2 linked regions of the Tribolium castaneum genome follow. The protein of the gene in region 1 purifies or fractionates together with the protein of each later gene. This does not show direct contact. Links are inferred from orthologs where the notes say so. Each region holds a gene or a part of one and is shown on either strand. Other genes may lie near its edges.

What was found.
Region 2: the proteins of inaD-like protein (region 1) and yki purify together in Homo sapiens (affinity purification with mass spectrometry; 6 studies listed by BioGRID and IntAct, with this or other methods). This does not show direct contact. The link is inferred for Tribolium castaneum from reciprocal best matches to the Homo sapiens genes MPDZ and YAP1.

What each region holds. Positions count from the first base shown.
Region 1 is NC_087396.1:16,497,331-16,505,035, forward strand, and holds the start of inaD-like protein, read right to left. Parts: upstream 4,264-7,705; 5' UTR 4,123-4,263; intron 1-4,122. Other genes in the region: uncharacterized protein LOC103313626, read right to left, coding at 5,112-5,200, 5,254-5,344, 5,401-5,546, 5,598-6,200, 6,249-6,335, 6,383-6,529, 6,588-6,713, 7,518-7,705. UniProt on the Homo sapiens protein: Member of the NMDAR signaling complex that may play a role in control of AMPAR potentiation and synaptic plasticity in excitatory synapses. Promotes clustering of HT2RC at the cell surface.
Region 2 is NC_087403.1:7,360,509-7,367,724, forward strand, and holds the end of yki (transcriptional coactivator YAP1-A), read left to right. Parts: intron 1-4,921; coding exon 4,922-5,061; intron 5,062-5,228; coding exon 5,229-5,360; intron 5,361-5,418; coding exon 5,419-5,682; intron 5,683-5,909; coding exon 5,910-6,112; 3' UTR 6,113-7,181; downstream 7,182-7,216. UniProt on the Homo sapiens protein: Transcriptional regulator with dual roles as a coactivator and corepressor. Critical downstream regulatory target in the Hippo signaling pathway, crucial for organ size control and tumor suppression by restricting proliferation and promoting apoptosis.

The sequences.
Region 1 (7,705 bases):
TGTAATTTTGAATGTGATTTAAAAATTTTACATTTACCTCTTGACAGAGGGCACAAAACTAGATTAAAAAAATAAAACAAAACAAATGCATTGTTAATGATTGCCATGTGCATCTTTTTCCCTCTATTGCGTTTTCAAATTTGAAAACAATTAAACTCATACGTGTAAGAATGGCCCACCTTACTGGGGAGTCTCTCCCTGCGTTTTTTGGCCTAGACACTTCTCATAAACTTAAGTACCCCATATCACCAAGGCGAACAAATCCTCACAAAGCTACAAACACTATTTCCACTTTACGAAAAATAAAAAAAATTAATGTCAATCAGTTGACATTACAAGAAAGCCGTAGCATTTAGGTACTACCATATTTACAAGGCACTGAAGTTTTTATTTTATGTAAAAAGTTTATACTACAGTAAATACTAGTAAATACTACAGAGTAAATGCTTCTACTTCAAGTAAGAGCAAATATGTTTTTTAATCGTGTCACTCACTGTTAAAAATATAAGAAAAGTGTTAGTAAGAAATTTGTAGAGAATTTAATTTCCTTTAAAAAAGCCCCAAAGACGTTAAGAAACGCTGAAGCGACGGATTTGTTTAAGTAAAGGAAAGTTGTTAATTTATACCAAAACTGTAAAAGGTAGAAATATGGTGCCGCAGACTTTTTTATAGCGAATTTAATTTTCTACAACTGTGTTTCTTACACTTTTTTGTATCTTCAACCGTATTCCCAGCGTTTTGATAAATATGCAACGAATTATCCCAATTTGCGTTCCAAATTTGCAAACGCTGCGAATACGATTGAAGAGACAAAAAAAACTGAAAGGACAAAAGTTGTAGTACTACAGTACGCTTGAGCGTCTTTGAATCACTTTGGTGCCTGGTTAAAACTTAATTCTCTACAACTTTCTGTCTAACATTTTTCTTGCATCTGTGACCGTATTCGCAAAGTTTTGAAAAATACGAGGCAGGATGGAATTGGTACAAGTTGTAGTTAGTGTTAGTCCTTTTCCAAGTCCTTGCAATGCCGTTTCATTTTGTTCGTTCGCAGTAAATTTCATTACCTTCCTGCTTTCTCATTGATTTCGAGCAAATTCCATACTTTTCCGAAATAAATAAAATCTGTGGTTGTATCGAGAAGACTTAGTTTTGTGTTTTGTCCTCCCGCGGTCTTATATCTATCGACTTTCGCAGATGAATCTGAAGATTTCAAACGTGAGCCAATTTACTAAAGAAAGCTTTTAGTTCTCAATCCTTCGGATGTTCCGGGAAATTGAACAGAAAATTCCTAAATAAAACACTTGATAGATACCTAAACAGCGAACCGCCAAGAATGTAAATTTGTACGTGGAACGTCTCCGAAAGCCTTACGTAGGTGGCAATACAGCAACCCTTTTATCTCTGCGAGATTCTTGGCTTGCTCACACGTGACATGCCTACCCGACAAAAAACACTTGCCCAAGAAACTAAACAATCGTTGGCGTTTTACAGTACAATTACAATACAAATACACAAAATTATAAATAGTGGTGTATTTTTAGCGGCGATCATTACGCGCGGGGAATAAATTACGCCGTCTGTGCTTTTATTATTTCTTGGTGGTCTTTATGGAGTTGTGAGTTTGTAGGACACGGATGGCATGAAATGGTTCTTTCTCCACGAAACACAATTTTTAAATGATCATATTTCACACGAGAGCGTGATGTGACAGCTTTATTTATTAAGAAAAGATAAAAATGGGCAGAAGTTTCCAGGTCGTTACGCTGAGGTGAATTAAAAAGGAATTTTTACGGACTTAGTTGCGGAAATGTGATTAATAATAAAATAAGATGCTCTCTTATTGGAAAAAGTCCGATAAGGGAAACACGCGAGGAGCAACAGTTTGGATCAGTTCGTGCTTAATTGTAATTAAGCCGAAATGGAATTTTGTTTATTTTATATTTTTTTAAGAATTTTATGAGCGAATCAAAATTTCTATCAGTAATGGAGAAATTTTTGAAATCAAAACTAAACTAAAACAGGTCGCTCAACAATGCGCCAATTTTTTTGAGCGTTTTATATATTGCAAATTATATTATAAAAAAGTTATATAATCTTCTATACTGCAATAATTATTTTACGTAAACCACTGGGTCCACTATACCGCCTTAGGTAACTTAAATTTCTTAAAAAACCGTTTATTGGTTTCAGAAAATATGGTTCACAAAATATGAAAAAAATTACAAACCCGAAAATGGACAATTTTTATTAACAGACATTTTTTGTCGTACGTACTTTGGAAATTTGTAACACTTAAGACTAATGTACACAGCTGCATTATTATAGTTAAATTATTCTAATAATAATCTATTAAAAAATCAGTCAGTATTTTCCAAAAAATTTAGCCATTTTTACAACTTTTTTATAATACTACGTTGTCGCTGACTTCTTTCATTTTTATAAAAAAATCTATAGATTTTTCTGTACTGTGTACTACTGAGATTTTCATCGTAAATTTTCTATAAAATAAATTGAAACCATATCTAAAGTCTTCTTAAAATTCATTAACCAAACAATTAGGAATTTAAAAAGTAAAAAAATGCGAGAAAAACAAAAAATCTGATCAAATGGTTTAAAAAAATTCAACCCTCTAATTACTAGCTTTTAATTAATCAAAATAATAGTTATTTATTGTATGTGTTTTAGAAAGCATTTTATCCACGCAAGACTGAATAACATTCTTAAGTGGATAGAACGCGACTAAAACACGTCGCAATACAACGTTTTATCCACAATTACCAAATTAACAAAATAGAATTAATCAAAGTTAAATTTTAATTTTTTCATTATTTCACTAGTGGAATAAAGTTACTTTATTCGACTAGTGGATAATAGGTCTCTTTAGATGCTTCATAAGGGTGGATAAAACTCCAAATATAATGTGATTGTGGAAAAAAATATTTTTGCCACGCCTAAACTTCTACCACCATATGCTATAGCCCATTTAGCCCGTATGTAAATATGCTACTGACCTAAACGAGTGCTTCATTACAAAAAGAAGAAATAATAAAAACAAAATTTTTAATAGTGGATACGTAGAATGCAAAAAATTATATGTAACTAATCAAATTACAAGAAAAAAATTGCAAAATAAAATTTATCTCTTTGAATTTAAAATTTTGCAACTATGAAAAATTTGTTCTCGTATTCAAGAATAAAAAACTGTTTCTACAAGCTAATGAATAATGTAATGTTTCTTATACCATTTATATTACGCGGAGATGTATGTAAATACATACATGAGCCGTTAATGTGGTAATCTACCCTTAAGAACAATCCGATTTCGATTAAGATTATGTAGATTAGATTAGTGCGATAAAATTACCAATAAGCTACTTGCATATGTAAATATTTTAATGTATTATTTAATTTTAGGATATATTCGTGTTGTTTAAATAAATAATACTTTAATTATTATTGTTGTATTTTTTACTGTAATGCATTGATTGTACAATGTTGTATATTTGGTTGCCTACACGAACAATATTAATACATTTTACTCTCCTCTTTTGAATTTGTTTTTTTTTATGAGAATAAACGTTTATTTCAATTTTTGAATAAGTATATAGTCTTCTAAACATTTAAGTCTGTATTAGCGTGTTCGGCTAGGTATAAAATCGTATAAAATCGAGTCCAATCAAATATCCCTTATGGCATTGTTCCAAAGTTTTCAATAATCCTCCTCGTCTCGAATTATCTCCCATTACCGTCCATACATCGCATACAGCATCCCCATTAAGCTAAAGTATCTCCGTTAGTTTGATTTTCCGGGTAAAAAGCGCTCACTTCGCCCCTAATTGAAATAAAGCGACAGTCAAGCAAACTTCCTCAAATGCAATAACCGAAGCATAATGCAAATTAAATGAGTTCTTGCTCATGACTATTTCATCTCCCAATCCATTTACTAGCGGCTATCGATTTCAATTGTATATTTATAAGCGTTTGCTCTTATTTCATTCACGTTTAATTTACTTCAAGACGCGAAAAAAAAACGCGCTTATCCGATTTTCGCACCATGTGCTTGGGGCTCCTGAATCGATAATAAAGCGACGAACGTAAATATACAGAGCAACATAAACAAACCTTGAGTGAGGCGGATCCGGAGTCAGCTTCTTGGACGTCGTGTAATGTGTGCAAGTGACGACGGAACACCAAATCGCGGCGCCGGTGCACGTCGCGACGCCTTCGCGGACTGAAACGGGATTCCGGACAAGGGCATTATAAACAACGCGCAGGGCAACTGTGCGAACAGGGATTCTAAAACTGTCGGCGTTTTCCGGGAAAGTCGATGGGAAAACGAGTTTACACTCCACTCTCATTAATAATTTAAACAAGGTTTTTGCACCCTCTCTGATGATTTTTCTCATTCATGCACGATTCAAACGCAAAAAGGCATTGCCAGAGTTGAGTTCCATAGAAAACTACTTCTGTAAAATAGTGAAATGTTTCCCAAAATACTGAAAACGGTTGGAAGGCATTTAACGCTGCACTTAAGTTTTTATTGTATTTAAACAATGATTCTAAATGCAAATAACTAAAAACGATATTTTTGAAACAATCAACAATCCTATTACATAGAAAAGGTTGTTTGGGTTTAATTTACATTCACTTGATGAAATTTTACAGTTATTAATAATAGGAGTGCGAAAACACAAGCTTAAAGTTCGAGGGCTGTCTTTTACAACGAGCGTATGCGAGAACCTTAAGCGTTTTCGCATAGGTGTTATCATTTTATTTGTTGGAACATTTTAATTTAAAACAAGTTGCTATGGGGAAACGTGTTTTAAAATAGTGTTTATAATCTAGAATTCAGGTATTAAAAAGAAGGCTTAAAATGTTACCAACAAAAAAAAGGAAACATATTTAAGACACCACAAAAACGATTCAAAACATATGAAAATTAAAAATGATATATGGTTTCACATGAAATAAAAACTCATTTTATAAGTTCTGTAAACTTTTTATTAAAGATATAATATTCATATTCTTAATGAAAAGTATAACTAAATAACAAATGAACTCGATAATGTAAGAAACACTACTAACTAAATTTGTCGCCAAGAGTATCATTATTACGTCGGTTTGTCCGCATAAGCGTCTTTGAAGAAAACCAATAGCAAGGGCTTAGTTTTATTTTTGTTATCTATGTAATATTCCGCTCCTGAAACAAAACTCCGTGCAAACACTTAAACTCAAACAACATACCCAAGTTACCTTGTGGAACAATGAATATGTCATGTTTTTTATACAAATCACACTTGTCCTGTATCCCCACCTCCGCTTTTCCTTCTACAACTACGAACGACTGAAAATAACCTGGTCAGTAATGAAAACATTCAATAAAATCGTAAGGCAAAATACCATAGTGTGATTCTTAGTTTTAAATAATGGCTTTGACATTCCTCCGCTTATCTTCAACCATCCCAGTTTTACAGCTTCCGTCACAGCGTACGTGACACCAGGCAAGTTAGCGATCGGTTTGTACACCGGATTTTTGAAACTGTATCCTGTAAAATTAATAATAAAGAGAGAAATTTTTAACTACAAATTCGACTCACTAATAAGCTCATTAGTTGCTGGACAGATCATGAAATTACCGCTTGAGTCGCGTTGAGTCTCGACTACCTTTTTCAAGGAATCCCTAACTTTTTTCGCGCTGGTTTTGGTACTAGACCGTTTAGATATTCTTCCAGATATAACAGAATTTTTCTTGATACTCTCTTGTGCTTGCAACGGTGGTGAAGAAAAGACGGTGTTATGAAGTTCTTCAGAACCAATGTTCCTTGAAGTAATTTCTTCTAGTCTTACAAATGGTATTTGAGTGTTTTGTGCAACATTTTCTGCACTAACATAATCGGAGGTAATTACATTTTCTCCAACAATGTAATCACTTCTGGTTAGATTTGTCTCCGATTCAGAAACAGTCCTAGTTTCTTGACGTTTTGGGGTCTCATCTTTCTTAAGTTTCTTACTTGATTGTTTTTTAGCCGGTTTCTTAGTTTTCCTTTTCGACTTTTGAGTATTACCTTCCATTTCAACTTCCGACTCCATAATTGGTGGCATTTGAGTTATACGAGTACGCCGTTTTTGTAGTCCCGAAAGTCGAAATGAACATTCAGGCGTTACTTGTGATATATGCCTTACCGCCGTTGCGACTTTATCTATAAGAAAACTATTCAAAACAGAGAAAAAATGTGATTAGGTTTTACAATATCTGTCCCTTTCAGTGCATAGGATGTAACCAGCTGAATTAATCTTTGTTTGTTTTCGTTGCCTTCCCGATCTCCTTTGCATACCTAAAATACACAGTGACTTAAAAAATACAAAACAATTTTAAACTGACATCCTGTTGTGTCGTCAGTTGTCGTTTCAGTAATTCCTGTTGTACTTTGGGCTTCAGACTTCGTTGTAGAACGTTTTGTCTGCTTTTTTCCCTTTTTATTTTGTGTTTTCCTCGCTGTACTTTTTTCAGCTGATTTATTAACGCTATCTAAAAATAAGTACAGTAGGTTTCGCAACCACAAAAACGAGTTTCACAAGCAACTTACTATTTAGTGATGGTTTCTGTTGCAAATTGTCCAGATTCGGTGCACCGAAATTAGTATCCTGATTATTTGATTCAAAAAATGCTTCAACTTCGCGTGACGTTTCTTCATCACTATTAGTCATTACGTCTATAAATGAAAATGCAAATAATTTTTTCATGAAAAATACAATTTTCAGAGTTTCAAAAAATATGCAGGGTGTTTCAGCGACTTCAAAAAATTCGTTACTGAACTTAAATGTGAGATTTATTTCCCAAAGCCGTAGATACTAACCCAAAAATTATTTTCAAATATATAATTTTCGAAAAAATATTTAAGAATTTTAAGAAACCTCTTAATTTTTTTATTTTCTTAGTTGCAAAAAACTAAAACGAAATGATATCCTTAAAGCTAGAACTTTCTTCTTTAAAGTGGTGGACCCTTATCTAGGGTTCTTAGTTTTTGAATACTAATAAATTTTTAAATAAAGCGTGTTTTCGTTAAAAAATATATTTCAAAAACTAAGCAAACTCGATCATTAAAAGTTTAGGTTAAAATCATCAGTTTTTAAAACTATATTCACAAACGCAAAAAATATGGGGTGTCCCATTAGCTGTCACAATTAGCTATTATATACATAAGTAATTTTACTCATGCACTTCAAAGAAATAATACTCATGTAATTTATACTTTCAATTAGATATCTACTCATTAAAAACTATTTTACAGTTTTATCAACCTTTTTTAAAAAAAATTAATCGGTAAAATGCGACGTTGGCGTTTTTATAGTTTTGAAACAGCTTGTAGGTAGCTCATTTCCGAAACAGTCTTTAATTTCGAAAATAATTTATATGAGTCAAGGGATTAGTATTTTGGGCTTTCTAACATTTAATGGTCAATAAAAGATTTTTTCTCTTCATTGAGTCACCCTGCAGTTATAAAACCCACACTGACCTAATCCTGATTCCAAAATATGTATATTGTCTACATTTCTTAGTTGTTGTTTTTGTGTTCCTGCTGGCTTTTTACTATTTTTTTGTGTAGCACTTGCATGTACGACCGCCTTAACTGACACTCTTTGCGATTCATCGGAACCACTGTCATCAGTGACACTGTGTTCCTTATTTTTATTTGCAAGACAC
Region 2 (7,216 bases), on another chromosome or scaffold:
TCGCTCAATTGTCAAGTATCACATAGGGGTCATTAAATAGGGTGCCAGCATGAGAATAGTTTAATAAAATAGATTTATATGCAAATAACACAAACGTGGAATGCTGTTTTACAAACTGTACTCAGATCTAGCGTTACGTTGTTTTTCTCGAAAATTCAAATGAAATGTTTTAACTCGGACTCAGGTAAGCCAACAACACGAATATCTTTTTGATATATGCTAGAAGGAAAGCGAAGGTCATCTCGTCTGTTGATACGCCATCTTGCTCTTCTTTCGACTACTCTATTTCCAGCATTTCGCATCGAAATCTCTCGCTTCTCGCGATAATAACTGGGATAGGTTTCAAGCTCACACATGGATAGGTTTCAAAAATATAAGGTCATTCGTATTATGATGTAACGGTAGTAACAACGTAGCGCAAGACGCAGCAAACACAAAACACACCTGAGATTAAATTCGAACTTGGAGAGTTTTCTGATAACGGCGGAAATAAGCCTCGTGTTACATAATTGCGCGATTTTCAGGTGCGTGATAACATTATAAAAGCGCACAATACGCATTCCTGTGCTGGGAAAATAAGTTTATGGTCGATTGAGCGAAATTTTCATCTATGCCGATTGTTAAATATTCATTGGCGGGACATAATACTTTGAAATGTATGCAAAATGAGTGTTTTGGCACCGCAATTGACTTGTAGATTGTCTATGGCAAAAATCCCACCGTCTTGCATAAACAAATGACTCTCGTTTGTGTGAATATTGGCAAGAGTTCGAGTCCGGCCCTGCACATGAGTCAGTTGTTTTGTTTGATTGAAACAAATCTAGTTTTTCGCGTGATTCGAGTCGAAAATCGCACATTTTGGCAGTTAGGGCTTCTATTCCACATCCATGTAATTAGTCGCCGAGACGCCTATTTTTAGATTTTAAAATTCTAGGCGCCTAAGTCGGACGTCGAACCTTTTGCCGAATGCACAAGCAAAATAATGAACTTATTTACACTTCTAGCGTCTTATTTATTTGTTTTATTGCTCCACACGTGCGGACCAACTTAATTAAACCAGAAGTGAGCAAGAGGTGTTACCCTCGCCAACTGCGGGACCAAATTTCGAGTCAGCTCATTTGAGCTGTTTCAAACTGGAACAAAGCAGTAGCTAATTAAGAAATTAGCCCTGTTTGTCTTAAAGAACTATTATCACTAATTATTTGTGGTGCGCTCTATTTATTTTAATTCTGTTACATGGTTACGGTCTCGCGTCGGGAAAAATTCGGGCCTTCGTCGGCCATGAAAACTTCACCTCCCGATCGTGTATGAATGAATTAATTAAAAGTAACAGAATACGTCTGTTATGGTTACGAAACGTACAAATCCTTTCACAACGATGGTGGACTTCCGTACGAATTATTAATCCAGTGTTTGGCACGGTCGGCCATTTTCCATGATGGCGTCTGTTTGTATTTTTTCCCAGTGAGTTAACCTTAACCCGTTTAAAATTTACCGCTATTATAAATAAATTCCCAAGCTCGCGAGTTTTAAATCAGTTTCCTATGTTCGCAGCAAGGTGATGAAAAGCCATCCCGCGTCCCTGTTATCAAATCACAAACAAAGGTCCTTGACATTTAAAATATGTCGCTGAAGTACTGTATTTTATTTATGTGTAGTTGAATAAACTAACGGAGCTAATGTCGGCTAAATTTCTCAAAACTTGTAGATTGAATTTAAATTGGAATTTAAAATTTCTGAACGTTTGTACAACATTTCTCTGAATAAATTAAATGTTCTGTTTTTACTTGAAATAAGTGTGGCTATATTGTGATATTTTTAGTTTGTGGCGGTATTTTTATCCCGGAAAACCATTGGCGTCGCACAACATGTGACGGGGAATTCGATAATTAACTAAATATGGACTTTTACCAAATCGCACTTTCTTTTCCACAATTGCCTCATTAAAAACCGCGCAACTTATCGATATGTAATAGGCGTGAATTTTTCATTTAGTGGATAATTGCGTCAGAGGCCGGGTTCGAGCGCCGGCTAATTTGTTATTATCAGCTGCTACATCCACTTTCCATGTGATCGCGCTTATCAGATTTTTCGTATCCTGTTGAGACCCATCGAGGTTTTGGGAGTAAAGTTCAAACTTCACAGCATCTAGATTAATGCTGTGTTTTGGTTAAATTAAAATTGATTGGTGGTCTTAAATGGTATCTGACGCATTGATTGTTGAATGTATTTTTCAGAGAGGCAAGTACACGTAGGTATGTGGTGGACTGTTATTAAAATCCACCCAGATGTGGATTCCACTCCTAGGTATTCTCCATTGTCTCGATTGCAAACACGGGTCTTTATCCCAATCAATTATTAGAAAGTAAACGCGATATAACATATCTTTCCTTTGTAACATTTTTAAGGTCATCGCATTCGAGAATAAATAATAAATAGTTGCTCCTTAACAAGAATAACAATTTACAGTTAGGTGCCGTATAAATTTTTCCAAATGATTAACGTCCACTTTTGACCAATTAATTAACAATTGCGCAAACTGCACTGATAAACTCCTGATTAAGGTAACGCTGGCGCCACTGATTCCCACTTGCCGTTGCCGAAATACAAAGCGACGCCATGTTGCCGTTCAATTTACATAATATGATAAAGCAAAACTTTGGCTAATAATAGAGATTTATTTTATTGGCACTGGATCATATTTTCTCCTATTTTCAGTTTTTACAACCACGTGTCACTTCCTGTTGCCTGGCTTGGCCTTTAAAGGTCGATATATCCATGTATCATTGAAAACAGGTAGATTTCTACTTTTTCAATGACTCAGTGCCATTCATTTCGTCTTCCAAGAATATTTGGCAAATCGTTTGTAGAAAATACGTTTCAAGAAAACTTTCCAACTCTCCTCATTGATTTCACCGAACTTCACATTTTTTCTTTCTTTCTTTCGCATTTTCAAATTAAATTAAATCAATTAAATGGGCATGTATTAGGGTGGCTCAATTTCACTCAATGCCAGGTCAAGGGGCGCTCTTATTTACACTACTGATAAAGTTAAAAATAAAACAAGTGTTGCGTTCGACCAAAAATCGTGTGAACCTGACTTTTTCATTACTATTGCATAATTGATTGTAAGGCTTAGGGATAAAAATATTTGCTCGTTTTATGACGTGGCTGTTTGTTCTTTTTTAAATTTATTACCTTTGTCAAGATTTCATATCGCCACGGTTTAATCTTTCCGTGGAATAGAGATAATCAAGTGTTTGTTGTAGCACTTATCAATTAAAAAACGAACAATGGGGGATTATCCACTTTCTGTGTGACGTTTCACGTAAATGTTTGTTTTCCAAACAAAATAAATTGCTGATCCTACTACTAATCTGTATTTTAGCCATTTGTCTGAAAGTAAAAAACTATTACTATTTTTTGTTATATAACGTCTTTATTGTCTATGTGGCTTTTCTCGAAATTATTTGTTATTCTACATTATGTATATTTACACTTCTTTTTTCTTCTTTTCCTTCACCATTTTCGTTTAGAACGTCTAACGTCTCCGTCTCTTCTCCACGTAATCTGCATATTCTGTCTCAATCCATAATTCCATAATTCGTTCTCCCTTTCCTCACTTCCCCTTTTTATCTTTACTTTCCATCTTACTTAAGTATTTGGAGAGTTCATCGTTAATAAGCATGGCATATTTTGCGTTATACCTCAATTCTCTTATGCTTGTTATTTTTCCCTGCCCATCTATGTCCGCATCTCTCAGTTTCAGTTCATCTTCCATTGTTCTTCCCCTTTCTTTCAATTTCTATACACGCATACCCCTTCTTCCATAATTCTATCCATCTAACATTTTCATTTGATGTTTTCATTTCTGCTCCGAATTCCTAATTTCTCTTCAAATTTCACAGCTCTCTTTCCTGATTCCTCTCTTACTATGTACCCCGGCAATTAGCGCTATCACTCATTTTATATACTTTTTCACCAAGCTATCAAACATCATTCTTCTCTTGTATTTTCACCAAATTGACGTTTTCCCAAGCTCCTAAAACCTTATTTGCTCTTTTGGAGCTTCTTTTATATGGGCTGTCTGACATCTTGCTATTTACTACATAACCCAAATACTTCAACTCTTTCACCTGTTCTATATTTTTTCCTTCCAATTGCCACTCATCCTTTTTCCTTTCTATTTTTTTTTTCCAAACACCATCATTTTTGTTTTATCTACTTTTACTTTACGTATCTTTTCATTATTTTTATCATTTCCTTCATCTCGCTCTTGCTTTTTGCTACAATCGTCTGCAAACGCCAGGATTTGCACTTTCTCTCTGCCTATACTGTTCCACCAACTTGTGCCTTTCTTAGAACCTCGCCTATGTCCCCTAGGCCTGATAAGAATAATGCAGAGCTTAACGAACAACCTTGTTTCTTCACCAATTTTTATTTCTTCATAAATTTCCTCTTATTCTTCTCACCAACCACTTGCACACCTTTGGATTATTTTGCTTATCATGCCTCTTCCATGCATTTCTGCTCTTAGTCTCTCATCTAGTAAACAGTAATATTTTTCGCTTGATGTTTGTCCCCTTTCTTGTAAATTGGGATAATTAGTCCTTTTCTCCAATCCTTGGGCAGGTAAAAAACTGAAGGTTTTTGTTGGTTGCTTTATTACGTACTGAATAAAGATTGGTGATCTTGAACGTTATTTCGGATAAACAATGAAATATTTTGGCACTGTGGTGGACTCTTGCGAATACCGTGGCTTTTGTTTTAAGTTAGAAAATGAAATTCTCCTTAAAATTCAATTAGTTTCGCATCTTTCTCCACTTTGGAGCGGTTTAAGAATGCCATTAGTTTGTTGGTCGGTAAAACCCTTTCGCATTAGTGGCAAGCACATTGTTTTACGTTGGAATTGCGTTTGCAGCCACATAACTCGGACCACAACTTGGGAAGACCCGCGAAAGTCGCTGGCTGCGCAAGCGGCAGCCCAACAACACCAAAGTGCCGAACAGCTTTTAAGTTCTCATCAGGTGTCGCAGGCCCAAGCCCCCAATTCCACGCCCCGTAAGTAGTTTCGATGGTTCTGCCAAATCTGGTACAATTTGATGATAGAGCCAAATGCAGTTCAAAAAAATCCAAAAGTGGCAGCTCGTGCCTTGTTGAAAGTTTTGAACTCCATTTGCTGATTTGCCTGATCCTGATAATTAAATTGGGGAAAATGTTTTCTCTAGCTGCCAAAGTGAGTACAGACGTAGATTTAGGCCCTTTGCCTGAAGGTTGGGAGCAGGCACAAACTCCTGAGGGAGAAATTTATTTCATAAATCATCAAACACGTACTACTTCGTGGTTTGACCCTCGAATTCGTAAGTTAAGCCACACGGGCGGGAAAGGGGCTTTTTCGATCTGGGATTTTTTTTCCAGCCACACATTTGCAACAGAGATCTCCCGGCACGGCTTCGGTTAGTGGGCAGTCGTGGCCAAGTGGCTCTTTGTCGCAATCCTCGCCGGCTAAACAGCAACAGTTTCGACTACAACTGTTGCAATTCGAACGTGACAGACTGAAATTGCGACAGCAAGAAATTCGAATGCAACAGGAACTTATGATGCGGGGGAGTTCCAACGACTTAGCGCTAGACCCCTTTCTGAACGACCACTCCAGGCAGGAGTCCGCCGACAGCGGCTTAGGTAAATTTTTTGATTGTTGGTGGGTGTTTTCGCGGCGCGGAATGTGCGAGAAATGTTGTTTTGCTTTGTTTACACCGATATTTCCAAATGATTATCATTTCATACTGAAAAAGAATGTGCGAAGCTTTAAATTTGGCTTGGCGCCATTTTGATCAAGAATTCGGTGTTTTCGTTGATCAATAGCGTTCTGGTCACGCAATTCTCCCCTAAGGGTTATTGACTTGCAGGTTTGGGGACGACGTATTCGATGCCTCACACGCCGGAGGATTTTTTTGATTGTACGGAGGATTTAGTGCCTTCGCTCCAACTGGGCGAAGAGTTCCCGACTGATTTGGGCGAGGAGTTCCCGACTGTCATTTTAGACGATGATGTACAATCGTTAATAAATCCGCCGACTACGAAGCCCGACAATGTGCTCATTTGGTTGTAATAAAGTGCCTACTTAAGTAGCTCAGCTTCTACGAATGTTTTATATTGATAGAAATTTAAGACAAAGTTTGGCAGTTGGATGGTAAAGACTGTCGTCTGTATCGTTATTTTGCAATATGTACCATTTGAATACGCTTTAAATGGCAATAATAATCAAAACATATTTTTAATGTTATTATAATTTTACATTTATCGCATTTGTAATTCTCAAATCAGTTACTGTTGGGTATGTTTTTCATACATATGTATTTTATAGTTTGTAATTTTTAAGTTAGAGTTGTAGTTTATGGTGCAGATGATATTTTGTCAGTTTTGGTAAGATATCGATCAAATTATTGAGTACTGAACGCAAAATTCAATATTTATTTATTGTTGTATTAGAGTTAATTATTTAACAATTTTTATTTATGTCATGTATAACTTTTAACCTCTGTTCCAAATCTAACGTTGTGATAATGTTTTCGCAAAATTTTATTAATTGGTAGGAATACTTAACTGTATCCCTATTTAATTTTACTTGTTACTGTATGTGCAATGCACCCCTGCTCCTCCCAGGACCAGACTTGTTGCATCGCGAAGGATTCAACTCGTATAAATATGCTCACACTGAACTAATCCCTCCATTTTGTGCCTTTAATTGGTAACGTATATGTATATATTTTATTGACAACGGTTACTTGTAGTCTTAGTTTTACAATTTCTAAAATATATTTTACACTAACATATTGTAACAGTGCCTTTCACATTTACTCTAGTGTTTAAGTGCTTATTGTATCACCACCAATTGGTACAGCTGTGATTAAGAATCAGAAATTTTGGACCGTTTACAGGTGTTATTAGCTGCAAAATTCACTTCACGAAGCAATACTCAACGCAATCAGTCTTGTGGCTACTAACACTGATTTTTCATTTGTGGGCCAACCAAGCGAAATGTTAGCCGATGAGGGAGCGAATCTTAATTTCAATCAAGCTTTCAGTAAGGAGAAAGGAGATGCCGCTTGATTGGCCTACTGTTTTATTGTGAAATTATTGTATTAGTTTATAATTGTAAATATATATTGGAAATATTAGTTATGAATTTTATTTGATCAAAAAATATGGTTAC